Linked DNA regions of Schizosaccharomyces pombe. The protein of the gene in region 4 purifies or fractionates together with the protein of the main gene of each other region. This does not show direct contact. Each region holds a gene or a part of one and is shown on either strand. Other genes may lie near its edges. The genes, in order: grn1, nop2, SPOM_SPCC126.11C and cid14.

Region 1 (3,842 bases), on a different chromosome or scaffold from region 4:
TTATTTACTAGTAGGCTTTTAAAAAAAATTTTTGTGTATTTATTAGCCGATTGTTAATTGAAAAGAATCAAGTCTTAAATCATTGCTTATTAAATAGTTTACTTCTTTTATATACAAGCTTTTTTTCTTTTCTTTGGTAATGTATGTAACTTTATTTATTCTTTAGTTTATATACATAATTATTAACTGCTAAACAGATTAATTTGATATTATGCCATATTCAGTAGTAGCGCAAAATAGTATGGTTAGAATTGTTTGTGTTTATCCTATCAATTGATATAAAAATGAAATGAAACTTATAACTGCACGTTAGTATCAATGTCATTTTCCGTACATATTCAATTGACTTTATTTAAGCCAGCATGCATTGATTTAATAATTTCCCGTATTAGCGAACCTATTACTTAAAACTTCTCCCATATCAAACATTACTTTTACAAGTAAATGTAAAACAACACATTCAAGAATACGGCATATATGCAAAAAAAATTATTTATATATTAATTCAAAAAGTAATAGCTAGTAACCATCAACACCTAAAGATTTTTAAAACCCGAAGAAAAACCGCAACCGAAAACCAAATCCCAAAATATAAGCTCTAAGCAACAATAGCTTTTTTCGTAAGTTGAAAACTCTCAAAAATCATTAAGGTCAAATTCTTTGGCCCACTCAGTAACGATTTGAGTATCCTGAACTTCAGATGAGTTCTTTTCGTTTATAACCTCAGGCTCGGCCCACCATTCGATACGACCAGCATGCCAGTCATTAATGACAATATTGGCAGCAGCGTTAAGATTTGGAATTCCACCGCGACCTAGACGACCACGCTTACGAGCAATATTGACTAAAAAATCAGTAGCAGTGTCTATATCGGATGTATTCAATAGAGGAGGAAGCTCATATCTTTGAAACATTCTTTCCAATTGTCCTGGAACTCTGCTAAGGAATTGCAAAATGTAAGAAGCAACGGCAACGGGATCATCAACTTTGGTGGATGAAACAGCATTAAGCATTACAAGACGATACAAATCGTCTTTAGAATCACTAGAAGGAAAAACAATACCAGGACTATCGACCAAACGTAATTTGTTATCTAGCTTCACCTCTCGCAAAGAAGTAGTCATTCCGGCAACGTTTCCGGCAGGACAAGGTGCAGAACGACCATTCGCAGAACGGTTGACAAGAGCGTTAATAACAGATGATTTACCAACGTTGGGGTATCCAATTACACCGACTGTAAGAGAGCTTTTAAGCTTCTTCTTGGCTGAGTAAGACTTGAGTGATTTAAGAAGATTGGAGATAGTGGAACTAGCAGAAGCCGACTGGTGCTTTAAATTTGAGTTTCCAGATCCTGAAGCGGAACGCATAGGAATCGTAGGAAAGAAATTGCGGAGATAGGTAACCCACTTGTTGAGTACTTCTGATGGTACTAAGTCAATTTTGTTGATAACGAAAATAAGACGCTTTTCTTCAGCAGAAGATGCTAAAACTTGACGTTCAACGTCTTTTGAACGAGTCCCTTCAGGATCACGAGCGTCAAGAACGTAAAGAATCACATCTGACGCTTCAACAACTTTTTTGAACTCCTTATCATATGCCTTTCTAGAGGTATCTGCCTTCACTGATGCCTCATAAGACTCGGAGTCAACTAATAAAGGGGCCTCTCCAAGGTTGTCTTCTTCCATCACAAACTCTTCCTCATCATCTGGGTTAGACGCTTGTGCAGCCTCAGCTATCTTTGAAATCATTAGGGATCCATTTTCATCAACAGCGTCTTCCTCTTCCATTGCAGCATCAACTTGTCCTGAAGCACGACGAGCCAATTTTTCTTCTTCTCTAATGCGCTTCTGTTCTTCGATCTCAGCAAGAATTTTATCCTTGTAGGGGAATGAGTTAGGAATACCTGGATCTTTAGGAATTCTGCTTTTCCATTGCGGATTTTTTTTATCAGCTCTTTTTTGCTTGCGTTTGCTCTCTGCAGCTTTCTTTTCAATTCTGCTACGAAGACGAGTAGTTCTTCTTTTACTCTTTTTTTCTTAAGAAATAAGTTAGAAATAGTTACGCGTGCATATACTTACTTAAGGAAACCATTGTAAAAAATGCTGTAGTTACAAATTTTACAGTTGGTTGTCTAGAGAAAAAACATTACCGATTATTCTTTTTTAACCCCAAATGCTATAGTACGGAACAGTACATTAACTTAATTTACGATATGTAACAATTTTGGATTGTACCTCGTTATTTTTAAAGTTGAAGCTAATTAGTAATTTATATTCACATTTAGAAAGATTTCCTTAGTTTAGCAATGCTTCAGTATTTTAAAAGCTAGTGATCTTTGAAATGTTGTTCAGTATTTGTGAAAAGAGTTATAGAAAAGTAAAAAATATTATGTATTTAGATTAAATTAAAGAAACCAATAGCAACTAGCCTAAATCCACTTGATCGAAAATATGATAGCTCAGCAATGCAATTAATAATTTTTAATATAAAGTCATGAAACAGATCTGTTGACACCTCGTAATTTTGTATAATAACTTAACCTTGCTTCTTTCCTTAGATTTCTTGTCCTCATGACTTTAGAATTGTAAAAAGAAGCACCCTGAGCAAGCGTCAAAATATCCTTACCTTGAAATGGTGAGGGTGAATTTTGATTATCCATACTTTTTAGCTCAAGCTTTACAGAGGAAGAACGAGTGCTTCCATTAGCCATGACATCCATATGATAATACTCATCGTCAGCCCAGCTAATGTTTTTTTCAATAAGAGCTTTATGACTCTCTGGATCTATCGTTCCCTTCATCAATATTCTAGCACCGAATGCCAAAAACATTTGTCTAGCTGGAACAATGCTTAGTTGTCGAAATCTAAAATTAGATGCCAACAAACCCATTTCAACCATTTGGTCCCTCTCACTTTGTGTTGTAAGTACTTTTCGTAAAGATGGCGTCTTATGAAACATGAAGTAACTATCCTTAAAGCCGAGTAATCTTGAGCATTCTGTACCAAGCATATACAACACTTTGCCACGTCCTTCTAGGCAAAATGTTTTAGCTCGATATTCAAAACCATCCGCTAGTTTGCCATACGTGTCAATTACTTCACTTATGTATTTATCTTTGTCCTCAATCTTTTCTGTTATGGGGGTTACACTCGTGATTTGAGCAATGTCATCACTAATTTCCTTTTTACTTAATGCTTCATCAACTGGAGGTTCTTTGCATTTTGAAGGTGCGGTATCTTTTAGGCTGTTATTTGGATGAATCAACAAATTACCCTCCTGTTTTACTGCAGAATCAGATTTTGAAAGACTATTTTCTGAAAATTCATCACCCATTTTTTCGGGAATTTTGGAGTAAACAGGTTCTTCATTTTTTGAATCAACATGATGTATCGGTTCCTCCCTGATTGATTTAGTATTATGTTCAGACTCTTCATTTTTTGATTCAGTGTGATACTCAGGTTCATTATGCTCTGAATCAATGCGATGTATAGGTTCTTCAATTTTTGAATTAACGTGCAGCTCAGGTTTTTCAATTTTCGAATCATCACACTGTTTAGGTCCTTCGTTTCTAAAATCACCAGAAGGTTTGGGTTCTTCAATTTTAAAATTTTTCTGATTTTCAGATTCATCCATATTTGAATTATCAAGATTTGTAGATTCTTTATTTGAACTATCATGATGTTTAGGTTCTTCCGACATGTTTAAATCATCAAGATTTGTAGATTCTTTATTTGAATTATCATGATGTTTAGGTTCTTCCAACATATTTGAATCATCAAGATTTGTAGATTCTTTTTTTGAATTATCATGATGTTCAGGTTCTTCCAACATGTTTAAATCA
Region 2 (7,551 bases), on a different chromosome or scaffold from region 4:
AATTTCATGGGGATAATACCGTATATACTTTTAAGATAAAATTGGTATTTAACTGGTTAGTCGCGTAAAAGGGTTACAAACCACTTAATATACCTTATTTTTAATGGTGCATTTCAAAATTAGTTTCATCTAAAGCAAAGGTATACCGGGTAAAAATGATCTTTATAAATGGCTTACTAGTTTTGCGTTGTAGTTTTATAATTTGTTCTACTCAGTTCATTTTACCAAGCAAATCAATTTAATCCGTTTAAAGCTGAGTGCTCCAGAATTTGTGCCACTTTTCAATAACTAAAGCATTAAGTAATATCTATTGTCTTTGGATTGCTTGACGTAGGTAAATGATTTTTTAAATTACTACAGCTCATATATGTACGTAGACGTATTCAGACATGTATGTATAGTATTCGTGCTCCAAAAATTATAAAGCTTGTCCAACCGTTTACGATTATATACAGCAAAGCGTGATATTCATCCTGCTCTTGAAGAACCAAAAAATAAATAAATAAATTTTATTTTTTTATGATGCTTGTGGTCTATTATAAACATTAACAAGCTCAAATAATCAAGCTAGAACACATGCAGCGTAAGTCGAGTCGCGTCGCAGAAATCCCAGCCCTATATATCTACATTCAAAAGTACTACCACTTACCCACCTCCATCCACAAGATATCAAAAAAAGCTATCAATCAATAAAAAAAAAATAAAACAATTCCTGTTTCTTTTTTACAAAATTTTAAGAAATTTTGTAAGAAAAAGCCTTTTTGCCCTTTCAGATAAAATAACTATTCGCTAAAGAGTGAATATATCTTAAATCGTTAATTAAAGGTAAAATGGCTGAATATGAAATAGACGAAATTACATTTCATAAACGCTTGGGCATACTTCTTACCTCCTGGAAGAATGAGGAAGACGGAAAGACGCTGTTTCAAGACTGCGACAGTATTTTAGTAACAGTAGGGGCTCATGATGATACGAATCCATATCAAAAGTCCACTGCACTACATACATGGCTCTTGGGTTATGAATTTCCATCGACTTTAATACTTCTTGAAAAGCATCGAATCACAATCCTTACATCAGTTAACAAGGCCAATATGTTAACGAAATTGGCTGAAACCAAGGGGGCTGCAGCTGACGTTAACATCTTGAAGAGAACGAAAGATGCTGAGGAAAATAAAAAGCTTTTTGAAAAAATAATAGAGTATATTAGAGCCACCAATAAAAAGGTCGGAGTATTTCCTAAGGATAAAACACAAGGAAAATTCATTAATGAATGGGACTCAATTTTTGAACCAGTGAAATCAGAATTTAATCTTGTGGATGCATCGCTTGGCTTAGCAAAGTGTCTTGCTATAAAGGACGAACAAGAACTTGCTAATATAAAAGGAGCATCGCGGGTTAGTGTTGCGGTTATGAGTAAATATTTTGTTGATGAACTTTCGACTTATATTGACCAAGGAAAAAAAATAACTCACTCTAAGTTTTCGGATCAGATGGAAAGCCTTATTGATAACGAGGCTTTTTTTCAAACAAAATCTTTGAAACTAGGAGACATAGACTTGGATCAACTAGAGTGGTGTTATACTCCCATTATTCAATCGGGGGGTAGTTATGATTTGAAGCCTTCTGCTATAACAGATGATAGAAATCTTCATGGGGACGTCGTCCTATGCTCTTTAGGGTTTCGCTACAAATCGTATTGTTCTAATGTTGGTCGCACTTATTTATTTGATCCTGATTCCGAACAACAGAAAAATTACTCTTTTTTAGTAGCGCTTCAGAAAAAGTTGTTCGAATACTGCAGAGATGGCGCTGTTATTGGGGACATATATACGAAAATTTTGGGTCTTATACGTGCTAAACGTCCTGATCTCGAACCTAATTTTGTAAGAAATCTAGGTGCCGGCATTGGCATTGAATTTCGCGAATCTTCACTTTTAGTAAATGCCAAAAACCCACGCGTTCTTCAAGCCGGGATGACTCTAAATCTTAGCATTGGATTTGGGAATTTGATTAATCCTCATCCTAAAAATTCTCAGTCTAAAGAGTATGCTCTTTTATTGATTGACACAATTCAAATAACAAGAAGTGATCCAATCGTATTTACTGATTCTCCAAAAGCTCAAGGTGATATATCCTACTTCTTTGGTGAAGATGATTCTTCTCTTGAAGACGGCGTAAAGCCACGCAAACCACCTACTCGGGGAACGGCAACTATATCAAGTCATAAAGGAAAGACTCGAAGTGAAACCAGAGACTTGGATGATTCTGCTGAAAAGAGGCGTGTTGAGCATCAAAAGCAACTAGCATCGCGAAAACAGGCTGAGGGATTGCAACGATTTGCTCAAGGTTCTGTTCCGTCTAGCGGCATCGAAAAACCCACTGTCAAACGATTTGAGTCGTACAAGCGTGACTCGCAACTTCCACAAGCAATTGGTGAGTTACGTATTCTAGTAGATTATCGAGCTCAAAGTATTATTTTACCCATTTTCGGTCGGCCTGTCCCGTTCCATATATCTACTTTAAAAAATGCTAGTAAAAACGATGAGGGAAATTTTGTGTATTTACGACTAAATTTCGTAAGTCCTGGCCAGATTGGCGGTAAAAAGGATGAGTTACCGTTTGAGGACCCTAATGCCCAATTCATACGAAGCTTTACTTTCAGAAGTTCAAATAATTCTAGAATGTCGCAAGTATTCAAGGACATCCAAGATATGAAGAAAGCAGCTACCAAGCGTGAAACTGAACGTAAGGAGTTTGCTGATGTTATTGAGCAAGATAAATTAATTGAAATAAAGAACAAGAGACCTGCTCATATAAATGATGTTTACGTTCGCCCTGCTATTGACGGGAAACGGTTGCCTGGATTCATTGAGATACACCAAAATGGTATTCGGTATCAATCGCCATTACGTTCAGATAGCCACATTGATCTTTTGTTTTCTAATATGAAGCATCTCTTTTTCCAGCCATGTGAAGGCGAGCTTATCGTTCTTATTCATGTTCATCTGAAAGCTCCGATCATGGTGGGAAAAAGGAAGACCCAGGACGTGCAATTTTATCGCGAAGTTTCTGATATTCAGTTTGACGAAACTGGAAACAAGAAGCGGAAATACATGTATGGTGATGAAGATGAATTGGAGCAAGAACAAGAAGAAAGACGGCGTCGTGCTCAATTAGATCGCGAATTTAAATCATTTGCTGAAAAAATCGCTGAAGCAAGTGAGGGACGAATTGAATTAGACATTCCATTTCGCGAACTTGCATTCAATGGTGTTCCCTTCCGTTCCAATGTTTTATTGCAGCCGACTACTGATTGCCTAGTTCAATTGACAGACACACCATTTACTGTAATTACACTAAACGAAATTGAAATTGCACACTTGGAGCGTGTACAATTTGGTTTAAAAAATTTTGATTTGGTTTTCATCTTTCAAGACTTCCGCCGCCCTCCGATTCATATCAATACAATTCCAATGGAGCAATTAGATAATGTAAAGGAATGGCTCGATTCATGCGATATATGCTTCTATGAAGGTCCTCTTAATTTGAACTGGACCACGATTATGAAAACTGTCAACGAGGACCCCATTGCATTCTTTGAAGAAGGAGGATGGGGATTTTTGGGAGCTCCGAGTGATGATGAAGGAGATGATAGTGTCGAAGAGGTTTCTGAGTATGAAGCTTCTGATGCCGACCCTTCTGATGAAGAGGAAGAAGAATCTGAGGAGTACAGCGAAGATGCTAGTGAAGAGGATGGTTACAGTGAAAGCGAAGTGGAGGATGAAGAAAGTGGTGAAGATTGGGATGAATTGGAGCGTAAAGCACGTCAAGAAGATGCTAAGCACGATGCTTTTGAAGAAAGACCATCTAAAAAGAGACACCGGTAAACTCACAAATTTACTTCACTTTCTTATTATTTATATGTAGTTTATTCTAAAAATTCCAGAATACTTTATAATAAAATATTCCACTGAATTGAGATTTGACAACCAGATGGATTGATACAAAAATATAAAGACCGGCTCTTTACGACAACCTATTAATATAATTGTTGTAGTAACACGCGAATCAATGTTCAGTTACCTTTTATTGTGTAATCCCAACCTAACCAAAATTATTCTAATCCTTTTTTTTTGCAACCTTATAACCTTTAGACTTCAACCATTTGCGACGATTCTGCTCGATAATCTCCTTATCGGCTTCATCATTGAAAGTAATATTATCAATTTCAGTAGAATTCTTTTCAATTTCAACATCATTATTTGTTCCATCCTTCATATCATCAGCCACATTTACAGTAGGGATTTTATCAGAAATCTTTTTCAGTTTGGCAACGAAAAAACCGTCTATATTGTGAACATGAGGATAATAACGTCTAGTTAACTTTAGACTTGGATGAAATCTTTTTTCACGAAAACGGGTAAACCCTTCACGTCCAAATTCAAGTCCAGTGGACACTAGCTTAACATTAGGGCGCTTCTTTAAAGCATATTGAATAACTGCTTCATCTTCGTCAACAGTAATACTGCAAGTAGAATACACGATAAAACCACCGGTTTTGCTGTCAGCATTGACAGAATCAATAGCGCTTAGAAGCAATTGCCTTTGTAAATGGCTAAGAGTATCAAAATCCCTTTCAGATTTGTTAGTTTTAACAGACTGATCTTTATATATAACACCAGTACCCGAACATGGGGCGTCAAGGAGAACACGGTCAAAACCGCCAATTACTTCGTTGGGAAACTTGCGGCCATCGTAATTACATACAATAGCATTACGTACACCTAAACGATGAATGTTAGCGGAAAGAGCCTTTGTTCGAGCTTTGTTAGAATCATTTGCAAAGATAATTCCAGTATTCTTTTGTAATGCAGCAACATAAGTGACTTTACCACCAGGTGCTGAGGACATGTCAAGGATACGTTCATTTGGTTGAGGCGCAAGGGCCATTACAGGCAAGAAGGAAGATGCAGCTTGCAGGATGTAATGACCAGCTAAATATTCGGGTGTCGCACCGATTGGAACCTGGGATTCGAATACTTGGAGACCTACTTTGGACCATTTACCAATTGGTTCCAAATTGACACCACGATTAATTAATGCTTGGGCTAATTCTCGTCGCTGGGTTTTTAAAGTATTGGTACGAATTGTGACAGGACGAGGCATTTCATTTGCCTCAAAAAACTCAACAGCCTCAGAAACTGAAAATAATTCAAATAACTTCTCAGCAAGAAAGCGAGAATAACCGTAATACGCACATATATCATTTAAGAGTTGATCAACATATTCAGAACGATTGCGTCCAGGTTCACACAAATTTTTAAAATCATTCAAAACACGGACTATTTCCTGTATCCGCAATTGAATTTGGCTCAAATCCTGTGGAAGAGTAGATATTGGTTGGCTATCGGTAAAACCATCAATAGGTGGAAGAACAGTAGGAGCCTCAGGATGTATGTTGGTATGCAATTCTTCCTCGGCTTCTTTTTCCTCTAATTCCGCTTCCTCATCAAGTTTGCGAGACATGGCTTCCATATTCGCAAGTTCCAAATCCTCTTCATCTCCAGAATCATCGCTAAACATAGGCTTAACCTCATGCTCTTCATCCGAATCAAAAACAGAATCTTCTTCCTCCCCTTCACATTCTTTAGCCTCATCATCGATAAACTCGTCAGCAAATGTTTGGGGTTCCTCGTCATGTTCCAAGTCTGATAAAGTTTCAGCCTCTTCAAATTCGTCTGCATCAATAAGATCTTTTTCATTCTCAGAATCCGAATTTTCAAACAAAGATTTCTTTTCTTCTGCTAATTGGCGTTTCCGAGAATTTTGTGGTTTTTCTTTTGAATGCTTTCTCTTTTTTGCATTTTCTGTCACTTTATGAGAAGAATTATGATTTTCCTCTAAAGTTGGGGGAATTCCTTGCTTAGACTTCTGTTTTCTTCCCATCTTTTATGGAAAATATGTGATGAAGTCCAAAAACGTTTATTTGGGCTGAGGAAAAATTTTGGCACTGGCATTCTTTCAGTCCAACCTCCACTATTCACATCGCTGAGTTTTGTTAAAAACTTTTACGAAAGATAAAGAACATTAAATTTTTTCAAGCAATACTACACTACGCTATGACATACTATGTTGCGTATCACTATATGCCATATGTTTAAATACTTAAGATCCGTTTATTGATACACGAGGATAAACTATCCGTCTATCTACATAGATGCAACGTTGATAGCAACTTATAGAAATATTATTAATAGAGCTACAGTTGAACTGAGGAACGAGGTACAGTTCCTAGCTGTATCGATGATCGATACTAATAGCTTCCTATAAACATTGTCAGTTAAAAATATACTGCATCCCGCTATATTGTAGATCGCAAGAGAAAATTGCCGCAGTTCTATGTATCGTTAAACAGATATTCAAACTGCATTGCTGAAACACAAAAAGATATACCGCATAGCAACAGCATAGTTAACATTATTAAAAATTCACGACTATTGTTATATTTATCTTTTTTAAAATTTGCTACGTACTTTACTGCTCAGCTTACTTAAAAAAGTCACTTAATTTACTCGTTCATCTTACTTCACCTCCTTGACAATTAATCATTTCAATTATGATCACATTAAGACTTGGTTAACGATTGAATTTGCTGCGGCGTAAAATGAGTGACAATATATATTCAAGACCTATATATAGTTCACACAACAGCAGAATATCGAATTTTAAAATTTACTATTTACTTTTCTCTTTTCGTATCACTTTTGTGGTTTAAGATACATATAGTGGTACTTAGATATGTAAATATACCGTATTCTCTAAAAATAACTAAAGATGGGCATGGACATTCAATAATTAATAATAAAAAAGAACAACTAAAAATAATTAGGAATTTGAGTTAGGCGGTCAAGTGTTTACAGTGGAATATCACCATAATACACTTGGTGGAATACGAAGAATTAACGAGGTATAGTGTATATTAAAAAAAGTTTTGGACAGTCTTTTGAAGAGCAAAGCGAACGACAGCCAACCATCAAATTAGTAAACAAGAGTTCAATCTTGCTAGAGTGTGCGTATTTCCATGCGAGATTTGACCTCTGCAACGGACAGCGCGTCTTTGGAAAGTGATTCGTCACGAAATCAATTTATTATCAATTCACTGGTATGTTTTATTAAAATTGTGATTATACTAACGTTTAGCTACCATGGTACTCATGCTCTGAACATGAATTTCCTCATCGAAAGGCTAGAAAAAGGCGTTCGCCTAAGAATTTAGATTGGTCGGTTTCGGTGCAAATGCCTCTGGTCACATCAAAGACGAAAGAGTCTGAAAAATCGCCTAAATCGTGGTCTGCAATTGCGAAAAAGCATGTTCAAGGAGACTCTCCTGTTAAAAAATCACATTCTGTTCCGGTACCGTCTGACAGGTCTGAGAAAAAAAGTTTCAATTCATCCCTTGGTGAATTGATCGAAACATATTCTCCATCCCTCGATGCACCCCGTCCTATACAGCCTCGGGGTTTTATAAATACCGGAAATATATGTTTT
Region 3 (3,395 bases), on a different chromosome or scaffold from region 4:
GCTGTATGAGGCGAGTAAACGTGAATTCCTTCAGCAGCAAGTTTTAAAAGGCTTCTTTGTTGGGGATCCTCCATCGTGATGGCTTTAAGCCCACGAAAGATAATGGGGTCTAGTTGTGAGTAAGTTGTGTAAACAATAAAAGTAGAAGGTTAACCGCCATACGATATGCTACAATAGATGATACAAGTTTATTTGAAATAGCTTCTTCAGCAACTTTCTCAGTCAAGTCAATCGTCAAAAGTACGGAACTTGCATTTGTTCTTGGGAAAGGAGCCTCAAGCAGAAGCCCAGTGTTGTCCCAAGAATCCGCCAATTTTGGATTATAGATGGACTCAACTACTTTTTTTAATTTGGAAGAAATATTTGCCTTAGACATATTTGGGGAAAGATACCATTAAACGCAGTGATTCCTGAACGACCGTAAGACCACGTTTACGACAACACTTAGTCCTAGGATATGCTTTCTCAAATCTGCTAAATTCTGTAGAGCATGAAGGAATTCTAGCAACGCGTAGCAATACACAATTTTAACTATGCAGTCCTGCGTATCGGTAAAAAAATATTGAACTGCATAGCGAGCATTAAAAAACGATTAGGTAGTACTTTATTATTTTACCGATATTTTTTTATCTATCCTAATACAGCTAAAAAAATCTACGCTTGCAAATGCCTCTATATAAGAAATGCTGAGTGTTAATTTCACAATTTGAATATTTACTTTGTTTATTAATTTCCTCTGTTTATAGAAAATATTTTTTCAGTCAAAGGAAGAGGCCATAGGCATTTCTATCCCATTTGTAAAAGAGCATCCAGTATTTAATGTTTGTAGTGCGTATTCTTCGGGACATGAAATAAATTCTTAGGAAAAAAAATCTCGTTTATTAAACGTACAAAACAATTTAGTGTCTAGTGTTCTAGTTCATCAAGTTTTTAAAAACGTTCGAATGCAATCTCATTATCATTCAATCGGTTCTAGTACTTCTTAGACTACTCGTTACATTCAAAACATATACATTGGTAATGCATTAATCGGTTTTTATATCTCCTCAAGCGTTAAAAATGCTACAGCTCACAGTTGCCGTGCAGAAAAAAACTGTAAAGAAAGAGTTGAAAGAAACAAGAACTAATATTTAAGAAGGAGCAGATTAATCTCCTTTGGATTTTAATGAACACATTAAATTGATTATCATATTGCTAATAGTACACTTCAAACATTTCAATATATAATATAACTGGACCTTTTGTGTCGGCTTTTTTTTTAATTGGTCTATATGACAATTATTTGTAAACAACTCTTTTTTTTCCTAAGGTCATTCCAAGGTCTATAGGAAGGATGAAATATGTATAATTTGGGAATCTTAATTGTTTAAAATGGTACTATGACCAACATGCATGCAAATATTCAAGATATTTCATCATCAAAAGATTGCAATATCTATTGAAAAATCTTGAAATAGGAGTAATGAATTGATTACATGACTAATTTTAAATAGAAGCTCAAGAAAAACAGTTAAACTTCTCAGGTTTTCTACCTGATATTCACTCTTGTTTATGTTCGATATAGGATCTCCCGTCTCACCTCCAATTCCTGCTACTAAGCAGCACTACCACCAACACGCACCTAATAAGTTCTCGTGGACGGATGGCAAAACGAGGCAACAAAAAGAAGCAAGAAGGTAAAATCGTAGCTGGAAACCCATAAAATAAAGCTAACATATTTTTACATAGCACCGCTGTCGCTAGGCAAACATACAGTTGGCGGACGTGTTGGGAAACCAACAAATGCTAAAACCGTATGCTTTTTATTTTTTCCAATGTTTTTTTACTCTAACAAATTGTGAAGGGATCAGCTTTAACTTCAGATAAAAGTTTGTTTGATAAACGTATTGTTAAGCAACTGAAGAATAATGAGCTTTTTAACCGTTTGACTCTCCCCTCGCAAGAACTAAGGGATGGTATAGTACGAGAAAATCAAACAAAGCCATCCAATTCTAATTCCCAAAGCAATGGTGCTATTTCGATCCGTGGTATCGCCGGACCCACTAACGTAGTTATTGAAAATCTTGCTCCCGGAACTTCTTCTGACGATGTCGCTGCTACGTTGCTTAATTTTGGGGAAATTTTGAATTGCCAAGTTAACGATTCTCAAGGAAAGGTGCGTGCTAGTGTTCGATTCAGTACCCTCGCAAGTGCTCAGCAAGTTGTCCAAAAGCTCGATGGCGTAACTGCTGATGGCTTTAAACTCTCTTGTTATATTAAAAAAAACAGTAAAAAGAGAAGAACTCAAAAGAAATGAACTTTTTGCAGCTGTTAGATTCTTTTCATACTTATTTTTTGCTTCCACTGAAGTGTACGTGACTTAATATGATACCTACTGTCCATATCGCTCTTCTGAAATACTCCTTCACGTTATCTGTAATTGGGAAACCTAGAGACTTACCAAAACTCATTCAAGTTTCTACCTTTTGATTTTAAATCAATTTCTGCCTTCCCTCAAACCAGTTCTTGTTATAAAGAATCTCATCGTATTTCTTATTCTGAAACTCTGTACATAACTCTTTAATCTTCACAAAGCGTTAAAAATCGGACGTTAATTCCTTCCCATTTTTCCTTTGAATGTATTCTTGGTGAGTAGCTTATTTGAAAAATTAAAATTTAAGTTGTTACAATTTACGAAATCAAGTTTTGTTTTTGTAGACCTTCTGTTGACATAGTAAATTGTTGATACCCTCGTTTCTACTGTTTTGAAAATTGGATTTGATTTTGACAATAATAGGGGTTTCTAGGAATATAAAATTAATTGCAATGATAAAATTAGTTTTATGGTCAAGTCATCGAAGCTGATTCTGGGTCATGCATATTAATCATATACAATATGAGTACTATGAGATCCATGTAAAGTATTCATTTCCATGAATGATTTTAAAATCGGCATAGATCCTCGGTATCACCGTGCGAATGCTTCTTAGTTTATGTCTAGTTAGCAAAAATAATTATAAGCGAAAAGCATGTGAGAGTGTAATAATCAATAATTTATTCATGAGCCGAAAAAATTTAAGTAAAGAGAATTTCAGACCAATGAGGAAATTGAAGAGGAAGATTGTTCGGTAGCAATTCGGGCCAAGCTTTTGAAATCGTTGCAACAATTTCGTTGAATAACAAACTATACCCCAAAGACGAAAAGTGAAGACCATCCGTGAATAGCAACTCGGGCGTGGGATAGGATTTCGTAATTTCATAAAGATTGATAAGACCTGCTGAATTAGCTTTAGATTTATTAAGGGTGTTCACTGTTTCAGAAGCAGCAATTACATATGGCTCTTGTTCACGTTTAAAACAAATGTCCTTTGTACATATACCGGGAGATACTATGATAATCTTAGAATGAGGAAATG
Region 4 (4,879 bases):
GAAGGTACTTATGGCGTATTTTTTGTCCTTTTAGGAATGATTATTTCTTACTATTTTATCGGTTCTACTACTGCTGGATACCACGGGTGGTTTGACTATTCACACGTTATATCTCGATTTAATGAAGTCCCTGCACTCTATGTTATTTCTGGAGTTATTTTGGTATCTATTGCGTAAGTTCATGTTAAAAAATTGACCATTCGTATTTACTAACGTTCCAACCTTAGTTTTTTCAACGTTTCCGGCTTAGCCATTACAAAACTTCACTCAGCTACTACCCGATCTCTTTTAGATATTGCTCGAACATTCGGAATTTGGATTATTGCTATGGCAATGGGGATGGAGTCATTCCATTTACTTCAATTCTTGGGATTCGTGCTTCTTATTTATGGCATATTTACTTACCATTCTATCATCAAATTTCCTCTCGCCGAATCGTAATTTCTTAACTAGTTTCATCGTTTATGCAAAATTACTACAGATCCATAGTGAGTTTAAGGTGTTGATTAATTTATTACTGGTATTCGAGTTTACTGGCTAAATCGTAAGTATAATCTATAAAGATAATTTATTAATACAATTATCAAACTATAATCATAATTGATAATAAAACCTTTTATCCCTCTATATAACCTGGTATTTTACATGTAAATTAACTAAAAACGTTTGCGTATTTTTTTCGCTCGAGATTCTTCATCTGAAGCAGTGGTGTCCTCAATAATAGGTACTTCGTCTTCCGAATCGTCACTGCTTATGTTAAATAATTTACTGGGATTAGCTCGAGAATTAGAGGAGGACTGCTCTCCCGTAGATGTCAAAGCTTGCTTCTGAAAATTTTCATGGCCGTTGGTTTCAATTGATTCATTTACTTTAAACAAATCATCCTTTGCAGCATCTGTTTCGTCTGAATCGGATTCATCCTCAACATATTGCAAACCAACGTCTTGCAATGGAAGCTTGTCGACATCAATACTTGCTAAAGCATCCACTTCCACTAAAGGTTCTAAAGGAACTGGATTATTCTTATAACATTTTAACATATGCTCACGATGTTGACGAACCCCTTCATCAACTGATAATATGGTACTTAGGATACTAGGGAAATCTTTGACTCGATTGACACCCTCTCTTTCTATACGAGATGCGAGTGCGTATAATTTACTAGTTAGCAAATCAAAGCCATTTGCAAATGTAGCCTTTACGCGTAATAATCCACGACTAGATTTAGAAACATCATTTTGGAAATCTACCGGATCTTGGATTGAAAGCAAATAAGGCTGGTTTGGCTTCAGCCAACCCATCTTCTTTTTTGAAAAATAAAAACCACCATTGTGAACAGCGATACCGACAGCATCATAATAAAATTGTTTTCCGTACAACTCCAAAAACTCTAGCAGCAAAACACCAAAATTGTCTTCTTCACGCATAGAACCTGTACTAAGTCTAGGGTGTAATTGAAGAAAAGAAACAACCAAACAAACAATCGCATAGCTACTTAATCCGCCCAAGAAGACTTCGTTTAGCGCTCGCATGTTCAAAAAATGTTTAATAATTATTACTAACGGCCTAAGAGCAGGGTATTTTTTCATGAAACCGTTCACTACCAGACATGTCTTCAAACCTCCAGGTTGATTAAAAGATATGTCAACATGAACTTTGGTTAACGGATCAACGAACTTGATGATTGGAACGTTAGCAGTAGTAATGACCTGGACTTCAGAAGCAAGTTTTAGCTTCTTTAGATGATGAGCAAGAACAAACATATCTTTTTTTGTACCCCGATAATGATGCTCAGGTGATATTATTACAAGATCAAGGTCTGAAGTAGGTAAATATAATTTGGTTTCAAAACTTCCAAAAACATAAAGTGATACATCTGGCCATTTTTGCAAGACAGCTTGATTTATACGAGAAACAAGCGTCTTCCGAACCGCATGCTCTTCAGGAGTCGGAGTAATATAGTCAATAAAGTGAAGAATGTCTTGGTGAAAAATTCTAGAGACTTCTCGCTCTACCTTATACTGACGGTGCCAAGGGCATGATTGAGAATCAAGCTCATACGCTTGGCGTTTTCGTTTACGGTTAGAATCCGATTTTTCATTTGCTTCATGAAAAAATCGGCCTCGTTGACGCATAAAGCCAGGGATCTCATTTTTAGAAGACTTTTTTAAGGACTCATTATTCTTGCTTTTATCATTACTAACACTATCCTCGTCTTCATCGCTGTTCCAATCGAACTTGATAAAATCAGAATTATTTTCGACAGCCTTGTCGTGTACAGGGTTAGTTTTTCTACCTTCTCTTTTTGGTATACCTAAAAGAATGGTAGGTTCACCACGTTTTATTGCTTCCTCTGGTAAATCAGGTTTTTCCAGCGGCTCTAATGGATCGGCTTTTCCAAATTGAATATATGGATCGTTTTTGTTTGAAATTTCTACTCCACCTTTATCACGTATTCCTTCTGAATCATTATCATTACGTGATTTTTTACTTCCAATTTCAACCATGGGTTCTTCTTGATCCAGAAGCGTAAAATTGTTATTCAGAAGCATTTCGTCATAAGCGTCTGAATTTTTATCCTTTTCCTTTCTTTTAGATTTAAATTTACTCGGTTTATCGTTTTTAAAAATCCTCCTTGGAAGTGGTTCAGTTCTCTCATTTTTACGCTTTTTATAATTATTGCGGTTAAATGACACGCTTTTTTTACCCATCTCTAAGACATGGATAGAATGGTTTTCTATACCTATCTTGTAGAATTCTTATAAAAATCAATATATGACTAATTGAACCACAATTATTAATCACATAAGATCTTTGAAAATTTGGTGGTGAACAACTTACTAAATGTAGCATACCTAACTATTAACGATTTATTTACGAAAATCGTTGACACTCGGTAATTCAATTTGGGGAACATCTTGTATGGAGAGCGAGATATAGAAGTGCTTGTCGAGTATGAATGGTATAATGTAAATTGTTGCTTAGTTATCATTAAAAAAAAAATTAGTGTAGGTTTTGCTTTGCCAAACCCAATTTTTAGTATGAATCCAGTGAGCTGCGGTGTGAATTTTTTTTTTTTTAAATCTAATTAATGCCAAGTAAATATGTTTTTCAAATAACAAAGAAATGTATTATCGATAGTTTTGAGGATACCCATCTTGTGACTTTGAGGTGAGACCTGGGATAAAAGAGTTTTGAGTTGACGGCTCAGCGTATGAATTGCTCAAAGATGCATGAAGCATACCGGGAATTTGAGGTTGTCCATGTTGATAAGGCGATGGAAAGGAGGGCATAGTCCCTAAACCCGGAAGATTAAGTACTCCAGAAAATTGGGGATTATGGGCATTTGCTAATGTTTCGGTGAGAGGGTTTTCGTCAGGTTCATAATTATCGTCTTCTTCGATCGCTGCTTTTCTCTGACTTAGCATGGCCTCAGACTGTTCTTCACCTAAATGATGGCGATCCATGGTGGATTCCTTGTCATCTGGGCGAGATCTTGACCAAAAACGTGTAGTTTTATCATTTGAACCTGTACATAAAAGATGTCCAAGAGGATGATATTGCATACTCCAAATACCCAAATCATGAGCAAATGGAATTTCAGCAGTAGGGTATAGTAAATAAGAAGACGCGGAAAGAGTAACATTTGGATGCTTTTCATGATACTTTTGCTGAGAAAGTAATGGAGGTTCATCAAGTGAATAATGATTGACACTTCCATCGGAGCCACCAGTAGTAAGCAAATTAGGATAAAGAGGATGCCATGTTACGCAGTTTACGTCCTTTTCATGACCACGTAAAACTCGAACGTCCTTCATGGCACGTAAGTCAAATACTCGACAAGTGCTATCCCTAGAGACTGTAGCCAAATAATTTGATCCAAAATTTTTCTGAAAAGATGCTTGCATTATTGTGTTTTTATGACCATGCAAAGTCGCAATACATGTACCGGTTCTTGGATCCCAAAATTTCACTAAATTGTCTTTAGAACCAGAAGCCAAGAGACCTTTTGAAGGATGCCAATCGACGGTTTTTACATCCCATCCATGACCAGTTAGTTTCAGCTCTTCAGTACTCATATGGAAATTCCATACTTTTAATGAACCATCATCACTCGCTGTGACAAATTTGCTATCATTGGGTGAAAAGGCAACATCTCTAACTTCCATTTCATGAGCTTGAACAATTTTGACATTGTTTAAATTCGGTTCAAAATACTTTACCATGCCTCCTCCATCGCCGGAAATAAGCCAGCGCCCATCTGTACTCCATTCAGCACAACGAACGGCATAATCATGACTCTGATTAATTAACTCAAAATTAAATGTGAGACCATTCCACAGAGTAAATTCACCAGTTGAAGAACCTGTCAACAGTCTTCGACCATCTGGAGTCCAGCGCACAACGTTAATAACATGTCTAGCTTTATTTGCAGACGTATGAATATATTTGGTGCACAAGGAAGATGTGTTATTATACTTGTATTCATAAGGGGGATACAAGTTAATTATTTGATTCGGATTTGGTCTCGGTACATGTATGTGATAGCGATTGCTACGCAAATGTCGATTGACAATATACTTTGATAGCCCTGATCCATAGTCCACAGTCCTACGAGTCATAGGCTTTTGAATAATTCTAGCATTTTCAGCTCTTTCCATGATGAATTAACCAATTCCCCAAAGATGTGAAATTCCTTATTTAGCAGCAATAAAATCAATCTTTAATTTAAATAAAACCAACTTAAAGTTCCTTCTAATGTAGTATAAACTTTACCGTTTTTCGTATGGTATTCTAATATATAGATATTTGGCGCGTTTTACGTGCTGGGAAAATGAGCTAGTATGACTTTGGCCAAAGGTATGGATACGCAATCGTA

What was found.
Region 1: the proteins of cid14 (region 4) and grn1 purify together in Schizosaccharomyces pombe (affinity purification with mass spectrometry, with the first as the bait; one study listed by BioGRID). This does not show direct contact.
Region 2: the proteins of cid14 (region 4) and nop2 purify together in Schizosaccharomyces pombe (affinity purification with western blotting; 2 studies listed by BioGRID, with this or other methods). This does not show direct contact.
Region 3: the proteins of cid14 (region 4) and SPOM_SPCC126.11C purify together in Schizosaccharomyces pombe (affinity purification with mass spectrometry, with the first as the bait; one study listed by BioGRID). This does not show direct contact.

Annotation. Positions count from the first base shown.
Region 1 is NC_003423.3:3,966,065-3,969,906, forward strand, and holds grn1 (GTPase Grn1), read right to left. Parts: upstream 2,134-3,842; 5' UTR 2,092-2,133; coding exon 2,079-2,091; intron 2,036-2,078; coding exon 636-2,035; 3' UTR 519-635; downstream 1-518. Other genes in the region: SWI/SNF complex subunit Snf59, read right to left, coding at 2,492-3,842. UniProt on the Schizosaccharomyces pombe protein: Required for optimal growth. Required for normal processing of ribosomal pre-rRNA. Required for nuclear export of ribosomal protein rpl2501.
Region 2 is NC_003423.3:3,670,629-3,678,179, forward strand, and holds nop2 (RNA methyltransferase Nop2), read right to left. Parts: upstream 5,997-7,551; 5' UTR 5,950-5,996; coding exon 4,123-5,949; 3' UTR 3,891-4,122; coding exon of another isoform or gene 831-3,890; 3' UTR 532-830; downstream 1-531. Other genes in the region: histone H2A-H2B chaperone, FACT complex subunit Spt16, read left to right, coding at 831-3,890; ubiquitin hydrolase Ubp3, read left to right, coding at 7,085-7,165, 7,204-7,551. UniProt on the Schizosaccharomyces pombe protein: S-adenosyl-L-methionine-dependent methyltransferase that specifically methylates the C(5) position of a cytosine in 25S rRNA. Required for 60S ribosomal subunit synthesis and processing.
Region 3 is NC_003421.2:2,135,102-2,138,496, reverse strand, and holds SPOM_SPCC126.11C (rrm type RNA-binding protein), read left to right. Parts: upstream 1-1,596; 5' UTR 1,597-1,642; coding exon 1,643-1,676; intron 1,677-1,728; coding exon 1,729-1,793; intron 1,794-1,843; coding exon 1,844-2,296; 3' UTR 2,297-2,893; downstream 2,894-3,395. Other genes in the region: SPOM_SPCC126.12 (NGG1 interacting factor 3 family protein), read right to left, coding at 1-109, 163-376; isoamyl acetate hydrolytic enzyme Iah1, read right to left, coding at 3,055-3,395.
Region 4 is NC_003424.3:319,756-324,634, reverse strand, and holds cid14 (TRAMP complex poly(A) polymerase subunit Cid14), read right to left. Parts: upstream 2,831-4,879; 5' UTR 2,712-2,830; coding exon 657-2,711; 3' UTR 506-656; downstream 1-505. Other genes in the region: gms2 (NST UDP-galactose transporter), read left to right, coding at 1-173, 228-441; mRNA cleavage and polyadenylation specificity factor complex, WD repeat protein Pfs2, read right to left, coding at 3,132-4,661. UniProt on the Schizosaccharomyces pombe protein: Required for 3' polyadenylation of the 5.8S and 25S rRNAs as a prelude to their degradation in the exosome. Involved in the nucleolar organization to ensure faithful chromosome segregation during mitosis.